4 linked regions of the Drosophila melanogaster genome follow. The protein of the gene in region 2 interacts with the protein of the main gene of each other region in a pairwise test. Each region holds a gene or a part of one and is shown on either strand. Other genes may lie near its edges.

Evidence for each region.
Region 1: the proteins of CG3557 (region 2) and crp interact in a two-hybrid assay, tested with the Drosophila melanogaster proteins (one large-scale study listed by BioGRID).
Region 3: the proteins of CG3557 (region 2) and CG14410 interact in a two-hybrid assay, tested with the Drosophila melanogaster proteins (one large-scale study listed by BioGRID).
Region 4: the proteins of CG3557 (region 2) and CG4896 interact in a two-hybrid assay, tested with the Drosophila melanogaster proteins (one large-scale study listed by BioGRID).

What each region holds. Positions count from the first base shown.
Region 1 is NT_033779.5:16,284,527-16,290,041, reverse strand, and holds the start of crp (cropped), read left to right. Parts: upstream 1-2,311; 5' UTR 2,312-2,852; coding exon 2,853-2,944; intron 2,945-5,515. Other genes in the region: pkaap, read right to left, coding at 1-899, 1,170-1,442, 1,571-1,598.
Region 2 is NT_033779.5:2,384,054-2,387,956, reverse strand, and holds CG3557 (uncharacterized protein), read left to right. Parts: upstream 1-2,164; 5' UTR 2,165-2,254; coding exon 2,255-2,450; intron 2,451-2,505; coding exon 2,506-3,125; 3' UTR 3,126-3,196; downstream 3,197-3,903. Other genes in the region: PIG-Wa (phosphatidylinositol glycan anchor biosynthesis class W a), read right to left, coding at 3,226-3,860.
Region 3 is NC_004354.4:14,834,369-14,838,049, forward strand, and holds CG14410 (uncharacterized protein), read left to right. Parts: upstream 1-2,356; coding exon 2,357-2,962; downstream 2,963-3,681. Other genes in the region: CG14411 (uncharacterized protein), read left to right, coding at 1-1,417; Grx5 (glutaredoxin 5), read right to left, coding at 3,195-3,385, 3,446-3,681.
Region 4 is NT_033779.5:1,175,550-1,183,171, forward strand, and holds CG4896 (uncharacterized protein), read left to right. Parts: upstream 1-2,140; 5' UTR 2,141-2,312; exon of another isoform or gene 2,313-2,398; 5' UTR 2,399-2,400; coding exon 2,401-2,495; intron 2,496-2,558; coding exon 2,559-2,918; intron 2,919-3,291; coding exon 3,292-3,520; intron 3,521-3,577; coding exon 3,578-3,647; coding exon of another isoform or gene 3,648-3,682; exon of another isoform or gene 3,683-3,902; coding exon 3,903-3,976; exon of another isoform or gene 3,977-4,310; coding exon 4,311-4,388; intron 4,389-4,447; coding exon 4,448-4,574; exon of another isoform or gene 4,575-4,663; coding exon 4,664-4,900; intron 4,901-4,963; coding exon 4,964-5,377; intron 5,378-5,445; coding exon 5,446-6,244; intron 6,245-6,305; coding exon 6,306-6,555; intron 6,556-6,620; coding exon 6,621-6,737; 3' UTR 6,738-6,905; downstream 6,906-7,622. Other genes in the region: CG4887 (uncharacterized protein), read left to right, coding at 30-494, 552-1,332, 1,393-1,642, 1,707-1,823; CG5126 (uncharacterized protein), read right to left, coding at 6,946-7,622.

The sequences.
Region 1 (5,515 bases), about 14 Mb from region 2:
GCGCAGCTTCTGGGACATCCACAGACGGCACTCGGACTGGAGGGAGAAGTATTTGTCGTATATGATCATGGCATCGCTTTGCGCAGCCTTGCGATCCTCTTCCTTCTCCTCGCCACAAGCAAAGCTCTTGCGGAAGTTAATGGCGGTGATCCAGAACTCCAGGCATTCACGCTCTTGTCGCTGCTCCAGGTACTCGGTGAAGTAGAACAAAGCCAGTTCGCTGTTCAAGACATCGTAGATATTTACAGAGCCGCCTTCGATCAACTCCAGACAGTATGTAGAATAGTAGCCGCTCTGTAGAAATCCCTGCACATGATCCCGCTCCAGCTGCTCCAGCACAAACTCTCTAGCTTCGTCAAAGCAGCTGGCCGGAATTGGTTTGCTACACTCGGACTTATCCCTTCCGCAAAGTAGCAGCGATATATGCGCAAGGATGACGATGGGCAGCTCCACTTGCAGGCTGGCGTTCACTATCAGATACTTTTGGTATATGGCAATGGCATCGCTGATGCTGGCCCGCGATAGCTCGGCGTTCAGCACACTATCCGTTCCAGACTTTTGCCTATTGAGCTGCTTGTTGGTCTCCGCATAGATGCGGCTCTTCTCGTCGTCTGTGAGGGGTTTGCGCATTGACAGATCGCACAGCGTCTTCAATTCAGGTACATCTTTGTCATCTTTGTGCGGAGAAGATTGTTCTATTGCCTTGCGAGGAGGTTCCTCTGGTTCCTCCTTCTCTTGCGTCAGAGCCGCCCGCTTAAAGTTCTCAATGTCCAAGTAGAATTTGATCAGCGGCAGGGCCTGTCGGGTGTCCAGATACTGAACAAAGTAGCTCAGGCAGTTCGGATCGTTGACGATGGAAGCGAGATTCATGGAGAGGCGTGAGTTGTAGGTGAAAATGTCTGGGAAGAAAGCAAAAGGTATAGTTATATAGTAAAGCATAAATGCCAATTGCCATATGTGAATGAGTTTCAAGATTACAACAATTACAACTATTATGTAGACACACTTTTAAGGATTTTCGATACGTGGAATCGCTCCTTATAAGCATTAACAGTGTTATCTACGTTTTATCATGGAAAGTCGAGAATAACGCTGCGATTTGCCAATCATTTCAGTTTCAAAGGTGCCAACGTGATGAGCAATTGAACAATGGGCAATGAGGTAATTACCATCGTTGCTGGCGAGACTGATGCCATCGGAGGGGGCTCCTCCACCACCACCACCACCTCCTCCTCCTCCTCCTCCTCCTGTGGTTCCCACGCCGCCCTCCTCCTCCGCTTCTAGGAACACTTCGTCGCAGAAACTGGTTGTGGAGCGCAGCGAGTGTCGTTTGTGAGCGTTGGCTGCATCACCAGCTCCAGCAACGTCGTTGGTGTCCACATCATACGCTGGCATTTGGCCACAAATGGCATCCGTGGCATCTTGGCTGCTGCGACGTCGGCCTAAATAAAAATCAACAAAAAACCAAATATAATTGGTGTCAACAGAAGAGGAAGAGGGGTGAAGAAGAAACGGGGAAGGGGAGTTGGGTGAAAACAGCAGCGAAATTTCTTTAATTTCTTTAACTCACTGGCGTGCCTCTTGATGTAATTTAACATCTTTACATTCTCCGGCTTTCGGTTGATTCGAGAAGTGCTTCTTGTGCTTCAAAATGCCGATTAACTGGAGATTCGATGAAATAATTTAATGCAGTGCGACGGTAAATATTATGAAAATGGTTTTAGGCGATAGGGTTTTTTTTGCGACCTAATCTTTTTAATTTTTTTTCGCTGGCTGGCCACTCTGTTTGCACAGTTTTGGGTTGAGTCTTTGCTAAAAGGATTCGAAACCAATCTTAACGAACAGCGAATTCAAGCGGCGAAAAGCGAACTCACAGAAACACAGCGAATATTAACGGCGAAAAGCGAATTCATAATACTGGGCGAATTTTCGCTGCGGAAAGAAAATTCATAATACCGGTTGGCTAATAGCGGCGAAAACATAATTCACAATATTCACAAAGAAAATGTAGAAATTGCGCTTATTTCGATGTTTAAATATTGTAATACTTAAATATTTGGAGTTCAGTTTTAGTTTAAAATTAATAAAGTTATGAAATTTTTTGGGACAACGCGGTCTTCAATTTTTGCAAATTTACCCATTCAGATGGCGTATTGGTGGATATAAACATTAAGCAGATAGGTGGCGCCTTAGCAAACGAAAATTCAGTGTTGTGAAGCGCAAAAATACGAAATATCGCAGTGGCATCAATGTAATCGATAGTGCCATCAATGTATTTCCCTATGTGCGATTTTTTCCTTGGCAGCCGTGGTCACTCTGCTGTTTATCGCCGAATTGAACGCACGTAGCGGACCGGACGGATATCGCATCTTCCGATCGGAAAAATCGTACAGTGCAGCCAATTCGCCGTCTACAGAAATCTATTAGCGCGCGTGTGTTGGTGCCAGTGCGGTGGCAAATTAAAACAAAAAACATCTGCGAATTTGAATACGCAAATCTCATGCTCACTAAGAGCGCAAAAGTCATAGAGTGCAGAATAGTGAATTGAAGAACTTTTGGACGCGCTAAGAGTCGCTCTCCATCCCCATCTCTCTCTCTCTCTCTTGTGTGTGCAGTGCTAGTGTGTGCGAGTGTGAGTGAGACGGGCAAACAATTTGCCGCTAAATACAAAAAGCAGCTGAGACCAGCTGACGCATGTGTATGTTCGAAATACAATAAAGTTAACAGGCTATAAATAAATTGCAAATGTTTATGTAGCCGTCAAGCAGCAGCAGTAGCAGCGCAACAACAAAAACCACGTGGCACAGACATTTTGGCCACGATAGTAAGCAAATACACAAACACGATTAAACATGTCCGCCGTACCGGTTGCCATCAAAACGGAGGAAGTTATTCTAGAGCACGCCGAATACAACAGCGCCGAGGAATTGGATGAGGAATTGCAGTAAGTTTGCATCTTAATCGAAATCTCTTTTGTTTCAAATAAAAACAAGGCGAGTCAACAGCTTGGCTTGCATTTTTATCACGCAAATTATTGATTATTTTTACTACTTTGCTAGTGCTCTCCCTTTTCTCCGTCACCGTATCACTCGCGCTCTCTCTAATTCTCTCGTTTGCTTTTTGCCGCCGTTTTGCCGACAAAACAAATACGGCACAAAAACACCACCACCATTAAGACCCATCTCTCACTCACACACATGCAAGCTAGCGTGTGTCGCATTCCATTCCATTTCCATGCCGTTTTCTTGTTGCTGGAATAAATGTGCTCCTTTTTTGTCTCGTCGTTCGTGTCTGTGCCCCCTTCTCAACATCCTCTCTTTTTTTCCGCCGCTCTCGTCCAGCGTTTGTGTTGTTGCTGTTTTTACGCTCTGCCTTTCGGCGTCCATATTGTAAAACGGCTGTTTTGTCAATTTGTCAGCAGTGTCGGCAGACGGGCAACAGTGATGGCACAAACATGAGTCAAGGGTACAGCTGTTAGAAACGATGATTTTTTATTTGCTTTAACTTTAGAAGTGTAGAGTTCAGTAGAAGCCACAATATTAAAAATACATTTTTGGTTTTTCTATACTATTATGGAGGTGTATTTTTAGTTTCTCAAATATTTGTACCTTTGATACATATGTATGATACATAAATGACTTTAAGCGATCTTTTGAAATAATTTTGTATGTTTTTATTTTCACCATTTTGCTTTTTCCTAAAATATTTGGTTTAATTTGTTACAGCTGCTTTTGCTATTTTCTGTGTTCGTCGATCGCGTTTCGCTCTCAGCTCCTCTCTCTCTTCTCAGGCTCTTTCCTATTCTGCTGCTCTTGCTCTAGCTCATATGTTCAAATTAATGGAGGTAGAAAACAGCTGCGCACCCGCACTCCCTCTCTCTTTCTCGCCTCCTCGCTTATCGTGCGTTGCCTAATCAACATTTCTATTTCTTCTTTCGCGTTCATAGTTGAAATGAAATCAGCTGTACCGGTAAATTCGTATCATCAGATGATTTTGCTTCGACTTTATTTACATGCTTCTCCCTTTTCCTTTGCTCTCTTTGCTTATCTCTTTTTACACCGAAAGCAAAATGGATCTAATTTAAAGATCAGTTTGCTGAGTTTAATTAACAATTTGAAAGAAATGACACAATACGAGTTCATTTTCTTACCATTATCCACATCGATTTAGATATGTATCTCTAATATTCCTTTCAGATAAATGGGGCTCCATTTTTCTCTCTGTGTACTCAAGGAATGAGTGTACCGAGAAATGTCGAAAATAAGTTGACTAAGAAATAAATGTATTATTTTAATTTCTTATTTTCCCTCTTACTTTTCTTTCGATCGTTTTCCTTTCGCAAATATGTCACAGGTTTTCAGAGCGAAAGTTTCTTTTTCCCTTGCCGGCTTATCAGAATCATATGGTAGCGCTTTTCGCTTTTCACACGTCATAAGCGGCGCCTTTTCTTATCGCACGAGCATATGTTTTTGCACAACGCCGAAGAGAATCGGAAATATATACATATGTATGCGATTGCACACTTATACTAATCCGTTTCAGCTGGCTTTTCAAGACTTTTATTTCAGCTTGCGTATATACCGGGTAAATAAATATTTTAAACTCGGCAAAATGCCACATGTTTTTGCTGCTGCATTAAAACCAGTACTTCCTCTGTGTTTTATGGATCTATTTAGTATTTCGAAATAGTTGGTAGGAAAATACAAGCATTTCGTAAACGCACGTATAGGGACTATTCAAATACAAATAAAACCAATTGTTATGCATACATTAAGTTAAACCAGTAGACGTAATTAAAATACGATTATATTTTATGAAAATCTAAAAAGCTGTTCACAAAACTTCAAGGCTACATTTCTATTTTAAACCAATCAATTGCAGAATAGATAGATAACCGTTAAAACTTCGAAGGTGGCACGGTTATTTTTGCCACCAGTGTGGACGGTATAACAACTGCGTTTTAGCAGCTGCTGTCTGTTTGTTGTTGGTGCTAAAATAAAAGAGCGTGCCTTGGCTAAAAGTCTCCACCTCTATCTTTCTCTCTCTCTCCCTCTCTCAATTCCATCCGTTGCACATTTGCGAATACTACGAAAGCATGTGTTGTGGCTGCTATTGTTGTTGGCACGGTTCTGTTTGTGTGGCGTCATTTCCGTTTTTACCCCACTCGACTGGAAAAGAGGAGCAGAGAGTGCGAGAGTGAAACAGAGCGTCCTCAACTCTTTCTTTTTCCGTCTCGCTCTCACTGCAGTTTTATAAGAGCCGCTCCCCAGTTGATCGAAGTACATAAGCAGCGGGAGAGAAAGAGAGCCCCATTTGAGTTGCACTCAAAGCCAAAAGCTTGTTGAGCGCGACAGTGGGAGAGAGAAGAGCGCGCAAAAGTACAGATGCCGCCACACACACATTTTTTACTACCACACACGTTTCATTGAAAAAACATATACACAAAAGCTAAGGCCGTAAACCCACTGCAAATTTGCGAAAAAAAAACCGAAATGAAATGAAAACTAATACCAAC
Region 2 (3,903 bases):
AGGCCATAATCATATCAGCTTCCGCACGATTTAACAGCAACGCAATTTTGATGGCAACCAGACCAGACCGAGTGCGTCAGCATGGCAACCGATTGTCTGTCTATTCATCGCTGGGTTTTCACACTGGAAAAACGTCGAAAATTATAGCAAGCTAAATAAATTAAAGGGAAATTAACTAAAACACAAATAGCTAGTATTTTTATATCACTAAAAAGGATGTCTTAGAGCATGCAAGCTAAAATAAGATGATAGGGTTGCATTTCAACTGTTGTTTTAATGTTTTTAAAAATATGATCTATTTTCAATGATAGTTGGTATATGCCAAGCACTTCTCTTTCGTTCTCTGTCCTGGATTCCTTTCGATTTGCTCAACACTTTTTTTGGCTTCGCATTGATTGCTCCACAATTGCGCAATTTCGCTCACTAAAAGCATTTCAAAGGACCTGTGGAATGGGGCTTCCTCTGCCTGCTGCCATGACGCATAAGCTCCGATAAAAACTGTTGTTCGATAAGCATTTTGTTTGCCATGTGCCTGAAGTTGTTAGGGCGTCTGTGCCCCAGCCCAAGTCACGAACTTCTGTGGTAACGCAGTGGGCTGCTGTGAAGGATTGAAGGCGGAGAAACGCTCGAGGAAGCCATAACGAATCAGTTTTTGATGTGGAACTTTGAAAAGTTCTATGGAAATTGTAAGAAAATTCAGAATGCATGGAAGGAGGCGATTCAATCGCAAGCAACTATATATTGCTTAATGCTAGGGAAACTGAATTAAAACTGAATTTAAGTCCTTTAAACAGAACCATGTAGGTGTCCTGCCACAGAGGAGCTATAGTTCAGACATATATTGCACATTCTCCGCACATTTGCCGCTTGGCAAAAGGTCCTGCAGCTTAGTCACCACACTGCCACACACATGGACACACACACCCACATGTACACATGATATTCATTATGAACGGCTTAAGCGATTTCCCCAGGGCCCAGGAGCTTAGTCCTTCACGCAGCAGACACACTCATGCATATGCACAGATATATTTGGGTTTTTATTTATTTCTTTTTATGAAAGCCCCGCTGAATGGAATCCGATTTGACGAGCAGTCGAAAAAAGGAACTCGTCAGCAAATTGGCAGCTCGAAAAAAGATGCGGTAAGCAGAAAAACCAATTCTCTACCTGATTGTTGGCCACATCAATCAGGATGTCATGTTCTACATGCTGGGGAAAAACATGAACATAATAATTAACGCTCATAATTCGACTCTCCCCAAAAGTGGACAACAATTCGCTTCTTTTGCTAATGAAAATAATCTGTCATCAAAGCCAAAAAGCCACCCCCTATGGTAACAGGTGCTCGTGCTTCCCGCTCTCCTGTTTTGCCTCATCCTGTTGCTTTTTCCAGGACACGCCTCCTGGTACACTATATGATTATATTTGGTTCCCAGCTATTAACTCTGCATAGCTTGTGGGCAGGAAGGGTTGAAAGGTTGGCGGACGGAAATTGCATTTGTGCTGGCCCAAATCAGATAAGATTCACCGGCGACGCCCTCGTCCTTGGCCAGGATATGACATTAAAAGCGCATCAAAGTCGAATGGCGAGCAGAGGCTACGCATCAGCAGCGGAAACTGTTGCCGTAATTACATTCGAGTCGGATAGAAAAAATTCCAAAGACGTATGTTCGGCAATGCGAACGCCTGATACCCTTTTCAGTGAGGAATTTTTGAGGAATCTTATCATTAGTAATCTTGATCTTAATTAATCTTCATCAAGGTATCTAAGTCACGAAATGAAAATGTTAACTTAAAACTCTAAGGTTTGTAGATAGGTTTTCGTATAGTTAAACCTCCTTTCGATGTCCTTTCCTTTGACAATAAGAAGCACATTGCTGGTCATTTGCGCGGTCCTTTAACCCTGGTCGCTTGTGAGCTTAGCTTCCCCCGGAGGCTGAACTTTGATTTGGTCTTTGTTTGCGCCGTTAAATTAAATGTCCTTGCCCAGCCGTTCGGGATCTGTGCTCATCCTGGATGCCCAGGGACAATGCAAGCAATTCCAGTCATTTCCTTAATAGAAATCTTATCTTTTGTGACGCCTTCGCCGTGTGCCTAAGCCGGATATCGCACCTTTGACATCTGCCCATGGCTCCTGACAAAGCAGGTCCATGCTAAGCACTCAAATATCTCTTACTTCCGGTCCGGCTTTTTGGGAGAATATCATTTGGAAAAATTGGGTGTTTATTTATACCAACACTAGCAGACGAAACCATGAAATCCTGTTGTGCCACTCAGACGACGCGTTGTGAGTGTCCAACGGGTCTCAGATTGGGGAAGAAGCCGCAGGCTCCACTCTTCGACATGCTGGGCCCGCATCCAGATGAGGTCATCATGACGATCCTGGACCGCATCCTCTATCTTTCGGGCGCCACGAAAATAATTCCATTGCTGGAGTTGTCGAATGAAGGTCAGTAATCGAAGGAAGTAATATAAATGCGTCCATAGATAAAATATACCCGTAGGATCAGCTTTTAAGAAGGAATCCTGCCCACCACCAGCACCCTGTGCACCAAGCCCTTGCAGTTCCGGAAGCAGCTCGGCTTATCCATCTTCATCGGCCTGGAGTACATGCTGCTCCAAGCCGTCGACTATCTGTTGTTATCCCAAGCCAACGAGATGCTGCGCCAGTCCAAAAGCTCCACTAGTGCCCTGCAGTCCAATGGATACTCCGAAATCTTCCTGCTTCAAGACCGCGAGTCGGCTTAGTTCCGCTGCCTGTTGTCCCCGCCAGCGTACTCCCAGGGTGGACTTCGATCACCCGGCGGAGGATATTCCGTTGAGAAATAAGGCGGGCAGCGCCACGATAAGGGAACAGATAAGCCGATCAATTTCCACCTGCTCGGTGGCCTGTCAACAGCTGAAAGACAAGCTTACATCCCAGATTGCCCAAGGACACAAGGACCAAAAGTGGTTGTGGACCCGTTTGATTCGTGGCAACGATGGGTGCATGGTGTACGAGGTGTACAAGGATTCCGATGTAGACAACTCTCCCTCTAAGATCGGGTCGGAGGCACCCATCATCCTTTTTCTAGTCATGCCGAATGGTTGCATCATGCCCTTTGAGTCTATTTGTGGTCCTTAGGAAGATGGTACTCGTTTTGTATACTTTTTAGCCTGTGGTCAGTTAAAAATAAACTTTCACCCGTACTTTGTATTTTGCTATTTAATTTATACAACAAATACTAAGCTACACGTATGCCTTTTTTTAGCATAAGGAAGACCACTCCAGCACAAACAAACATATAGATGGACAGTATAACAACAGACTCCAGATCACTTCGATGACCCGGGTTCAGGGACATGTTGACCATTCCCGTAAGGAAATTGGAGATCATGAAGTGAGTCAGACCGTTCATGTTCAGACTTTCAACAAAGGTGGGCAAGGATATGTTCTTTTGCCCGTCATCTCTAATTGACTTTTTAGAACAAATATCTGGCCGTACGAGTTTCAGCTCAAAGAAGAACGCGTAGATCACAATTAGGCTTAGGGAGACAGCGAAAATCCAGATTACATAGCCAAAACTAAAAGTTACACGTGCTATGCCCGTTAGAAAAGAACTTATAAAAACCAATTTCCAACAGAGAATGGCCACGAAAAGAATACTCTTTAACTTTCTTATTAGTCCTTGATAAGTCAGGCTATCACGGGAAGTATACCACTTGGCAAAGTAAATGCTGAGCAAATAGAGAGCCACACATCCGTGTAGGGAACTTAAGCCTTCCCGATTGGCACTGAAAAACCCCTCATGGGGTGCAGAAGACATGACGAATTCGGAGAGTCCCAGTTGGAGCACCACTTCGTGAAGGAATAGCAAACCTAAAATCGTAGGAAATTAAAATTTATTGCATTATTATTTTTT
Region 3 (3,681 bases), on a different chromosome or scaffold from region 2:
CAAATCGGAGAATGTGATGCTGGAGCTGGTGCGCAAATGTGATGCGGGGCGACAGCTGAAGCTCCTACAGCTGACGGATCGCCTGCCGAGCATTCAGGATGTGCTGCGCGCCTATCAGAAGCTGAGGCGCCTATGCACGCCGGAAACGCCGGAGAAGTTTATGCTGCAGGATGACAAGTACCTGGGACTACTCGAAAAGACCAACTGGCTGTTCTATGTGTCGTTGTGCCTACGCTATGCTAGTGAAGCGTCTGCCACGCTGCGCAGCGGCGTTACCTGTGTCCTCCAGGAGTCGAATGGCCGTGATCTCTGCTGTGTGATTAGCAGTCTGGCGCAGCTATTGCTCGATCCGCATTTCCGTACTATCGATGGCTTCCAATCGCTGGTGCAGAAGGAGTGGGTGGCCCTGGAGCATCCGTTTCAGCGACGCCTGGGTCATGTCTATCCTGCCCAGCCGGCCGGCGGTAATGCCGAACTATTCGACAGCGAACAGAGTCCAGTGTTTCTGCTCTTCCTCGATTGCGTGTGGCAGCTGTTGCAGCAGTTCCCCGACGAGTTCGAGTTCACGCAGACATACCTGACCACGCTGTGGGACTCGTGCTTCATGCCCATCTTCGATACCTTCCAGTTCGATACGCAGGCCCAGCGACTGAAGGCGGTGACCGACTCGCAGCTCGTCCTGCGTCCCGTTTGGGATTGGGGCGAGCAGTTCTCGGACAAGGACAAAATGTTCTTTAGCAATCCGCTGTACCAGCGCCAAAGGGGCGATCTTGGCGCCCAGGCGGCTGCCGTGGCGCATCGCAGATCCCTGGCGGTGGGTAGTAAGGGAGCGCATGGCGCCGCTAGTGGTGTCACACCCTCGCGCAACACCATCAATCCGCAGCTCTTTGCGACCGCTTCGTCAGTGCCGCAGGATCGTTACCTGCAGCCGGCACATCGCATCTTCGATCTGCAGGTGTGGGATCAGTGCTACTACCGCTGGCTGCCCATTTTGGATATACGCGGCGGCGGCCAGCCGCAGGTGGATCTCTATCATCGCCTGCTGCTGAGCAACATAGCAAAGGTACAGCGCTGCCTGGATTATCAAAACTTTGACGATCTACCCGATGCGTATTACGAGTTCGCCGGCGAATCGCGTCCCAATCAGCACAAGGACGAGAAGCCCGACAAGGAGGACGAGGCCGAGTTCGTCGACGGTGTGGAGCGGCGCAGGAAGCCGACGGCGAAGGCCGCCACACCCACTAGCGGACTCACATCGGTTACCGGCAATCTGCAGCTATCGACCCTGTCGTCGTTCTTTCCCTTCGGGAATCCCATCGCCGGAGATGCACCGCTCCAGCTGTACGACATTCTGAGCAGCAGCAGCGAGCTGCTGATGGAGACCTCATCCTTTCTGGACAAGTCGTCCATTGTCTGATCCGCACACAAATCGGAGACACCACCACACACACACTCGTTCCACTTGTTTATTCAAAACGCTGAACTTTCGAAGTATTACACAAAAAACAGAATATAATTTGAGAAGAAGAAGAAAAAACACACACACACACACACACACAGAGGTGCAATTTCCTCACATATACATGGCATATCGCTTTTAACACTTTTGATTATTGTTAACTAATAAGCAAGTTATGGTATAAGTTTTTTTTTATTTCGTTTTACTACCACCAAACTGCATTGCATCGCTGCATTATAAAATTAAACGTAAATAATACGATTAACAAACGTAACGACAAGCAATTGATGTAAAACGAATTCAAAACACAAATCCGCAAAAACGAAAACGTACGAAAACACCAATTAAATCAATATGTATTATATTGTATGTAACTAAATATATGAAAGACTATTGATCGATATGTATATTTAAATAAATCAAATGTGTAAAATCAACAAAATGTGTTCTGATTGCGGCAACTTTTGAGAATTAAACGAATTAGGAACTATGAATATATATGGGTGAGTCAGCAAAAAAAATCGCATTAATATGTAAGCTTATGATTTTAAATTGAAGTGGATAGTTGGATAATTGAAAAGATAAAATAATTGACTAACAGTTTGGCTTTCGAAACGATTTGTGTTTGCTATTCTGAATAATTTTGGGTTCTTAATGTAACTCAATAAAAAGTTTAAGATTTTATAATTTAAAAAAAAGGAGCCATATAAGGGTTAACATAATTACAAGCTTCGATAAATAACTGTTTAATTCCCGATTTTTATTTATGATTTCATTTTATAGTTCGCTTGGACTTTCAGTTATAATCATAGCACATAGAAGTTATAATGAATTTATAAATATGCTATTATTATAATTTATTATTGGCACGAGAAACTAGATTAAACACTCAGCGAAATGGGTAATACAAATACGTTCAAGGACATAAAGGATTACACAATGAAAATCATTATAATTACAGAACGGAATCATGAATCTCAAAATAAGAAGCTATCAACAAGAAATGATAAATATTTGGACTTAAAGCATGAAATAATGGAAGTTAAAGTTGAGAATCTGGCAAACAACCGCATTTTAAAAGCAGAAAAGGATGCAAAGACTGCAGATAAACTCGACAATTCAGAATATTTAAAGATTAATCAGAAAATGCTTCTAAATGAGAACCAAGATATTGAGATGGAAAATCAGGTACCAAAGGATCTGGAAAAGCAAACTGATGAGTATCCCAATGAAGAGCAGTACGTCGGGAATCAGTTGCCACTTAGAAATCCCGCTCAATCGACTCCAACTCGTCCAAGTCGCGTGATTCCACCAATGCCATCGGAGGAAACGATGCGCCACTCCATAGCCGACAACCTGATGGAGATCCTGGTGAATATGACTAATCCGCAGCATCGACAACAGTGCTTTTCCCTCTTGCAGGTGGACGATGCTCTGCAGGCACGCAGTCGAATCCTATGCCTCCTGCAGCAAATCGACGAGAGGCGCAGGACGCGCAACTGAATTCATCCTATAGAATGCTTGCTTACATTATAATGGTACTTTTACAAAGCCTGCTATATCTTAATCACAATCATAAATGAGCGCCTGCGATTATATGCCATTGGCTGCCATTTAAATCACACGGAACAACGCACACCATTGTCGTTATGAGTTAAACATTTAATAATAAAAACGTTGCGTGACTAACAGATTTAGGAAGGGAATTTGATCTTTGGGCGCTCTTTTTGAATCATCACTTAGCCTTGTCGTCCTGCTGCTTAGCCTCCTCCGCTTTCAGCAGCTCCGAAATGATGCCCGCCTTCTTGAGCTCCTCGATGAGATCGCCGCTCTGGTGCATCTGCAGCAGGATGTCGCAACCGCCGACAAATTCGCCATTGATGAACACCTGCGGAATGGTCGGCCAGTCGGTGTAGTCCTTGACACCTGCACGCAAGCAATAAGGTTTAACGCTGGCACGCTAATGCATATGTGGAGCGTACTCACCCTGTCGCAGGGACTCGTTTTGCAGCACATCGTGGGCATCGTACTGGACACCGTGCATCCGCATAATCTGCACCACCGCATTGCTGAAGCCGCAGCGTGGCGCCTGTGGGTTGCCCTTCATGAAGACGACCACCTTGTTGGTGCGCACCAGCTTGTCCATTGTCGCCTTGTCCACTGCCGCGCCGGTGGCCGCATCCGCCGCAAGAAAGCGGGTGAGCAGGGATTGCGGTGCTGTG
Region 4 (7,622 bases), 1.2 Mb from region 2:
ACTTAAATAATAACCAATATTTCATCCAGTGGCCATTACCTATTGCATCGACTTGGAGGAGCAGCAAGCATTGCCCAAGAACCCTAAAGAATTGGCAGTTAAAGATTCAACTGTCAATAGCGGGAACATTTCAGCAGTTTCGCCCTCAGGATTGGGTGGAAACTATACTCTGGCCGATGTGCCACGACTCGCTGAATATAGTGCCTCCCTGTACGCTTCGAATCCCGCAGAGCACGCTTATTATGTCCAGTACTATACGGAGTACTACACGGCAGATATAAACAAAAATAACAGGGATTCCCATTTGACGGAAGCCAATTCCGGAGCAGCGGTTGCCCTCTCGGCCATCCAGCGCAAGCAGAAGAAGATGAGCAGTATCGAGACCACGATCACAGCGGCGGCCACAGCTGCCGCACAGGCAGCGGCGCAAGTGAAGGCCACATTGGCTGCTCAGGTGGCCAGTGCGCCCAAGGGCAACGATGGAAAGATATACCGTATGTCGCCACTCACTTGAGTATGCTAGCATTTTATTATGTTTCATTATGTTGCAGCCACTCCCGATGTGACGCAGTACCAGTATGATGAGACATCCGGCTACTATTACGACAGTACCACGGGTCTCTACTACAATGCCCACTCGCAGTACTACTATAACAACGAGACGGGCGCGTATCTTTACTGGGATCAGCGCAGGAGCACCTATGTGCTGGCCACGCCCGCCTCCACTCAGGCAGCTCTGCAGGAAGTCCTGGCCGACGCCGAGCAAAAGGGGGAGGAGGAGTCCAAAAAGGCGAAGGAGAAGGAGGGTGGAAACAAGCACGACAAGGTTAAGGTGGCGAAGAAGATCGTCAAGGACATGGAGAAGTGGGCCAAGCAGCTAAACCAGAAAAAGGACTACACAGCTGTGGCCACGCCACAACCAATATTGGCGAACGAGGTAGCCACCACTTCGCGTGGCAATCAAGGGGGATATGCTGATGTGGGATTCTCCATTCTCGAGAAGAAGGAGAGGGGCAAGTTAAACGACTATGCGCCAAACCCGACTGTGGGTCCAATGAACAAGCTTGTCAATGCCTATGGCGGAACATCGGACTCTGAAGAGGACAATGCTGCGAGTTCGCAAAACACACAGAGTTCAGCGGTTGTAAGCGGCGGAGGAGGTGCTGAAGAGTCCGATTACGTGGACTTCCATAAACTGACATGCCTGCTCTGCAAGCGTGCCTTCCAATCGTTGGAAATACTCCAGAAGCACTTGAAGATGTCCACTCTGCACAAGGAGAACCTGGCCAAGCTCAATCAAAACACTAGCAGTAGCATCGAAGAGGCACTAGCGTAAGTGAAATCGCGATGTGTGGTGGAGTATATTATCATTGAATTCATATTCTTTCCCAGCTATCGTGATCGTGCCAAGGAGCGCAGGCTGAAGTACGGCGAGAGCGATCCTCCCCCACCAAATAGGAGCAGGGAGCGATTCGAGCAGGAGATCAAGACACTGCAGTCGCGGCAAAAGCAGTCTACTAGCGCTACTCCAGCCATGCCCATCAGTTCGAGCAACGTGGGCAGTCGACTGCTCCAAAAGATGGGTTGGTCGGAGGGACAGGGACTGGGCAGGAAGAACCAGGGACGCACCCAGATCATAGAGGTAACTGAGCTGACGGCAAGCTATAAAATGAATTAAGAAAATTAAGCATTTTGGGTTCCCTCAGGCGGACGGACGCTCCAATTACGTGGGCTTGGGCAACAAATCGGGACAGATGATACCGGGCAACGACTACAAATCCTATATAAAGAAGATGATGAAGCAGCGCTACGAGAATGCTTGAGAAATTGGTTTTTAGCCGTTTCACATGTTTCATTTCAACTAAAGTCGCCGTTTAATTCAGCTTTTCAACCGAAGCAAAAATTATTTCCATATTATATATGAAGCTTCTTGAGCATTGTTTTCCTAACAGATTGGCGTTTTTTTAAGTCCACGAGCAAGTGTGACCGTTTAGTTAATAGTTTCTGATTAAGCGAATTTAAATCCTTTTTCGAATGTACAAAATAAAATGTAACGGTGTAAAGTTTAAATTTGCTTGGTGTTGGGAAACAACTGTTAGCTGGCACTTGGTAGCCCTGGAGCTATCGGTCAGTTATCGATAACTGGCAGTCAGATACTTCGGGTGAACGGCAAAAAAGAAGACCGAGAATTTTTCTATTCGGGTTTTTTTTTTTGGCCGGATAACTGATTGTTTCTGCCTGAATGCAAAGAGACTTCCAGTTCGGGAACAAGTTTAACCAGCTTCCAATCCTGTTACAGTCGTGGTAACCAAGTAAGATGTGCGCACATAGACGGTTCATCTAATGGCAAAAGGCCAAATCACAAACACTGCATTTAATTACAATCGATTCGCATTAGATATGGATTCTCGATATGGTCACAGCTTCTCGGGCGGCAACGGAAACGGCAGCGAATCGGGCTACAGACGCTACAGTCGCTCCCGATCCCGATCCAGGTAGGTAGTCCTTTGTCCACCTGGAGCCTCTTAGTGGATTACTACCAATTGCGATTATTTCAGGGAACGAAGTCGGGACCGCAATGAGTACAGACGTCGCAACTCCCGTTCGCGCAGTCGGGAGCGGTCCTCACACTATAGAAACGACCGCAGTCCGGATCGCGATCTGTACCGCGACCTGATCAACGAGGATTACGAGGATCAGGGAAACTACAACTCGAGACAGAACCTTGACCAGCGCCACGGCGAGGACAAATACGATCGTCGGCATGCTGATAGCCAGGGTCGCAGGGATCACGATAGCAACTACGACAAGAGTGGCCAGGATATGGATAAGGACCGCGATCACCGCTGGAAAAACTACGATCGCGTTTCGAGAGAGCGCAACCATGATGACTTCGATCGGGGATCGGAGCGCAGCAGGTAAGAAATGATACATATTGCATATTACCCATATCGTGCTCAGTGTTATCACTGAGATTAAGATTAAGCTAAGTTCTATGTTTCCATTCACAAGGCTTCCATAAGAAGGAGGACTCCTCTTTCACTAGTTTAAAAGACCTTTCATTTGCTAATCACTTGTAATAAAAGTCAAAATAATTAGAAATCAACCCATTCAGTAATGTACACTTCCCTTTGTTCGCATAAATGCATACAAATCATCTTATGAAATATTCATGCTGGATGCCTTTAATTACAGTGGATAGTATGCAAACGATGGTTTCAAACGAACCGAACGAAAATTTATTCGACAAAGTGCTCATTGTATGACCTTAAAGAATCGCTTTCCTTTCAGCCGCAGCAATGACCAGCGGCAGTTCAATAATAATGGAAATAGTAACTCCAGCAGCAGTTACAGAGATCGCGAGAAGGAGCGCGATCGAGATAGACGGTGTTCCTCGGACGAGGACAGCGACATGGCCAGCGAATTCAGGCAGAGAGGTGCCTACAACAGTGGCAGCAGCGTTGAGCCCTTGAACAACATAATCCTCTTCGGTCTGAAGAAGCACGTCACGGAAGCAGACGTAATGTTTAAGCGATAAGCAGAACGAATGTAAAATTAACCAAGTAATCCTCCACAGATCATGGGCGAGCTGATCAAGGTCGACCTGGAGCCCACATCCATTCGCGTGATGAGGAAGCAACAAACAGGTGGGTTACATTTCCGTGTGTTACATTCGATTTAAAGTGAAATTGTAGAGAAAGCGTGAGTATTGCGTGCCCAGCAACATGTTCGATGTAGGACTTATAGCAATTTCAATTATACTTGGCTTCGACATCAGCAAAAACATATAGAAAACTACAAACCGAAACAAAAACACAATCCCCAAAAATGACACAATGCTAATGATACAACCAACATTTTTTGACCAAACATTTTCGTATCTACTTCTATCTAAAATTTAGGTGCCTCACGCTGTTTTGCATTTGTCGAGTTTAAAACCGTTGAGGAGGCGACTCGTTGGATGGAGTTAACCCAGGTATCCCTAAAAACCACAAGAATCTTGAATCTTCTCGTATCCGCCAAAATAGAAATGACGGCAAGATCCGATAGCTTGGCATCAACTGTTGAAAAATGTGTGCCTTGAGTTCAATTCTGCTGGTGGGCTGCCTGTCCCTTCCATTTTTCTGTCTTAGATCAGGGAACTGAACTCAAAGGCGGAATCGAATCTTACGTAAAGGAAGCAACCAGCATCTGCGTGATGTCGAAAAACACAGATGCAATCTTGGTGACTGTGTAGTCTGTGAACGATTTGCCTGATCAGCAGTTTCAGTTACTAATTCCAATTTTACCTCTTCTATTTTTCCGTTCAGGGAGTCCTCCAACTGGGCGATCATCGTGTCACCATGCAGTATAGTCACACTCGCATCTCAGACTGGACTTGCATTAAGGTATGCTCCGTTAAGATACAGATTGGCAACAATAATTAGCTTTTTTCGCCATCCTTCAGTGTGGTGCCAGCAACTTTAAGCGCCGCTTCCAATGCTACATGTGCAATGCGTCGCGGGCGGAGAGCGAGAATGCTCTTTACGGAGCCGGCGAGGGCGTCGACGAGATCAGCCAAATCCTCACAAAAAGTATATCCACCATGAGCAATATCTTTCAATGCCGTTTCCTAGCTAATCAGCTAAATACCCCACTAACCTGCCACGCTTTCCCCATGCAGAGATCATGCTTCGCGGCTTGGACGCGCTGACAAACGAGGAGGGCGTGCTAACTGCCCTTCAGCAGCGCCTGCCCGAACTGGCCAAAACAGTCAGCAAGGTGCTGGTCAGTCGCGACGCCCTAACCAATGCATCTCGGGGCATTTGCTACCTCAATTTTGACACACTCATTGATTCTATGAACGTGTTCAACGGGCTGACGGCGTTGGATCCGCCACTCACTCTGGACGACAAAACAGGTAAATTATTACTTCTTAATTATTTCATAATTAAAAAACAAAACTTTAATCCATGCCCTTCAGTTATCGTCACCTACTGCATTGACTCCGAAAACCGTCAAATGATGCCAGCCGAAGGCAACTTTTTTAGAGCAGGTGAAACAGCGATGTCTCCGTCGGCCATTACGGCGGCCTACACTTTGGCGGATGTGCCTCGTCTTGCGGAGTACAGTGCATCCGTGTATGCCTCGAATCCGTTGGAGCATGCTAACTACGTCCAGTACTATACGGATTATTACACGACTGAAATAAGCAAGAACTGCAGAGATCGTCAAGTGACGGAGGCCAACTCCGGCGCTGCCGTTGCTCTCTCGGCCATCCAGCGCAAGCAACGGAAGGTCAGCCAGATGGAGACCACGGTTTCGGTGACAGAGGCGAAGGTCGCCTTCCTTGCCAGGGGTGAAAGTGCTCCCAAGGGGAATGATGGCAAGAAATACGGTAAGTGAGCGCACACTATTCTATCTATGCGCTCCTGTAATGTCGAATATTTCATGCTCAATGGTTAGATACTCCCGATGTGTCCAAGTACCAGTACGACGAGACCTCCGGCTACTACTACGACCACGTTACAGGACTCTACTATGATGCCCACTCGCAGTACTACTACAACAACGAGACGGGCGCGTATTTGTACTGGGATCAGAAGCGGAGCACCTATGTGCTGGCCACACCCGCTTCCACTCAGGCAGCCCTCAAGGAAGTATTAGCCGATGCCGAGAAAAAGGAGGAGGAGGCCAAAAAGGCAAAGGAGAAGGAAAAAGAAAAGGAGGAAGCTGGGGGGAAGCCCGACAAGGTGAAGGTGGCCAAGAAGATCGTCAAGGACATGGAGAAGTGGGCCAAGCAGCTAAACCAAAAAAAGGACTACACAGCAGTGGCAACGCCGCAGCCTATCCTGTCGGATACTGAGGCGGCCACCACCTCCCGTGCTTCCCAAGGGGCATATGCTGATGTGGGATTCTCAATCCTTGAGAAGAAGGAGCTTGGCAAGCTCAACGACTATGTACCGGAGGCAGGACCTCCAGCGATAAGCAAATTGGTTGGTGCTTATGGAGGACCTTCTGACTCGGAAGATGATAATAGTGCCAATCAGAAAGCACTTGAAGCTAGCGTTGGGACTAAACGAGCCATTAGCGATGAATCTGACTACGTGGACTTCCAAAAACTTACTTGCCTGCTCTGCATGCGTGCCTTCCAATCGCTGGACATCTTGCAGAAGCATTTGAAAATGTCGAATCTACACAAGGAGAATCTGGACAAGCTTAAACGGAATCCCGCAGTTGAGGCTGGCACGGATGAGGGTCTATCGTAAGTGGGAATATGCTGCTAGAATGGAGATAAACTCACTAATTTACTTACCCGTACTTAGCTATCGTGATCGTGCCAAGGAACGCAGGCTGAAGTACGGTGAGAGCGATCCTCCTCCACCAAATAGGAGCCGGGAGCGTTTCGAGCAAGAGATAAAGACTTTGCAGTCGCGCCAGAAGGATTCTTTTGGCGCCACTGCAGCCATGCCCATCAGTTCGACCAACGTGGGCAGCCGCCTGATGCAGAAGATGGGCTGGTCGGAGGGCCAGGGACTGGGCAAAAAGAACCAGGGACGCACCGAGATCATAGAGGTAGGAGTCGACGAGGGCGACGAATGGCAAAATATGGATAATTCAATGTCAATGTGTATCCACAGGCTGATGGTCGTTCTAACAACGTGGGGCTGGGCAACAACACTGGCCATATGGCGCCTGGGAACGACTACAAATCCTACATCAAAAAGATGATGAAGCAGCGTTATGAGAACGCCTGAGACTCTTCTTAAAGTGTATGATTTTATTCCGCTTGAATATAGGGGCATTTAAGCATTGTTGTTTACCTCGATTACACTTCCTCCACCTTGTCGCGTTCATTTAGCATTAGTTGCGAAGTTCAAATTGTAAATAGTTCGTAAATACAGTCTCAAATTAGGTTTAAATTTAAATTGTAAATGCTTTAAGTATGGAATTGTGCAAGGGAATCTAAATCTCGTCCATGTAGCCATGCTCATAGGCGTGACGAACGGTCTTGAAGATCTCCTGGTTCGCCTCATCGCCAGCGATGTCCAAGGACAACTGGTGGAAGGCGGGGCCGTGCATATCCGTCTCGAAGAGGCGGGACAACTCGGCGCAATCCTTCTCGGTGCCGAGCAGCCAGGGAAGGAAGTGCATGCATACCATTGGTCCGTAGAAGGCATATCGTTTGAAGTGGGCATTGAAGCGTTCGAAGCTGTATTCCTGTAGCAACTGGTCCACCCGATCGTCGGTCAACTCGTTCCGGTTTCGGCGCAGAACCAGTTCCAACATTTCGATCATGCTTCGATGGTACTTGCGCAACAAGTCGGCGTAGATCTCCTTCCTTCCTTCGGATGGCGTGTTCATGTACATAAAGAAGCTCAGGTCAATGGCCGTAGTGCTGAAGCGCAGCTCCTGGAAATCGATGGCTTTGATAGCGTCCACCTTATCTTCAGCGCCGTAGTGGAACAGCACGTTGTTCCTGTTGTAGTCGCCGTGCAGAAAGGTGGCAAAGTGGCTGTCCGGTTGATCTTCGGCAAAGGAGCTGGTGCGGATTCTCTCCAGCAGGAGAGTTGGCTGCTTGAAGTACTTCTCCCGCAGTCGCTCGATGGCGGCCCCGAATCCGGGGTCTGCCCCCTGGAGGA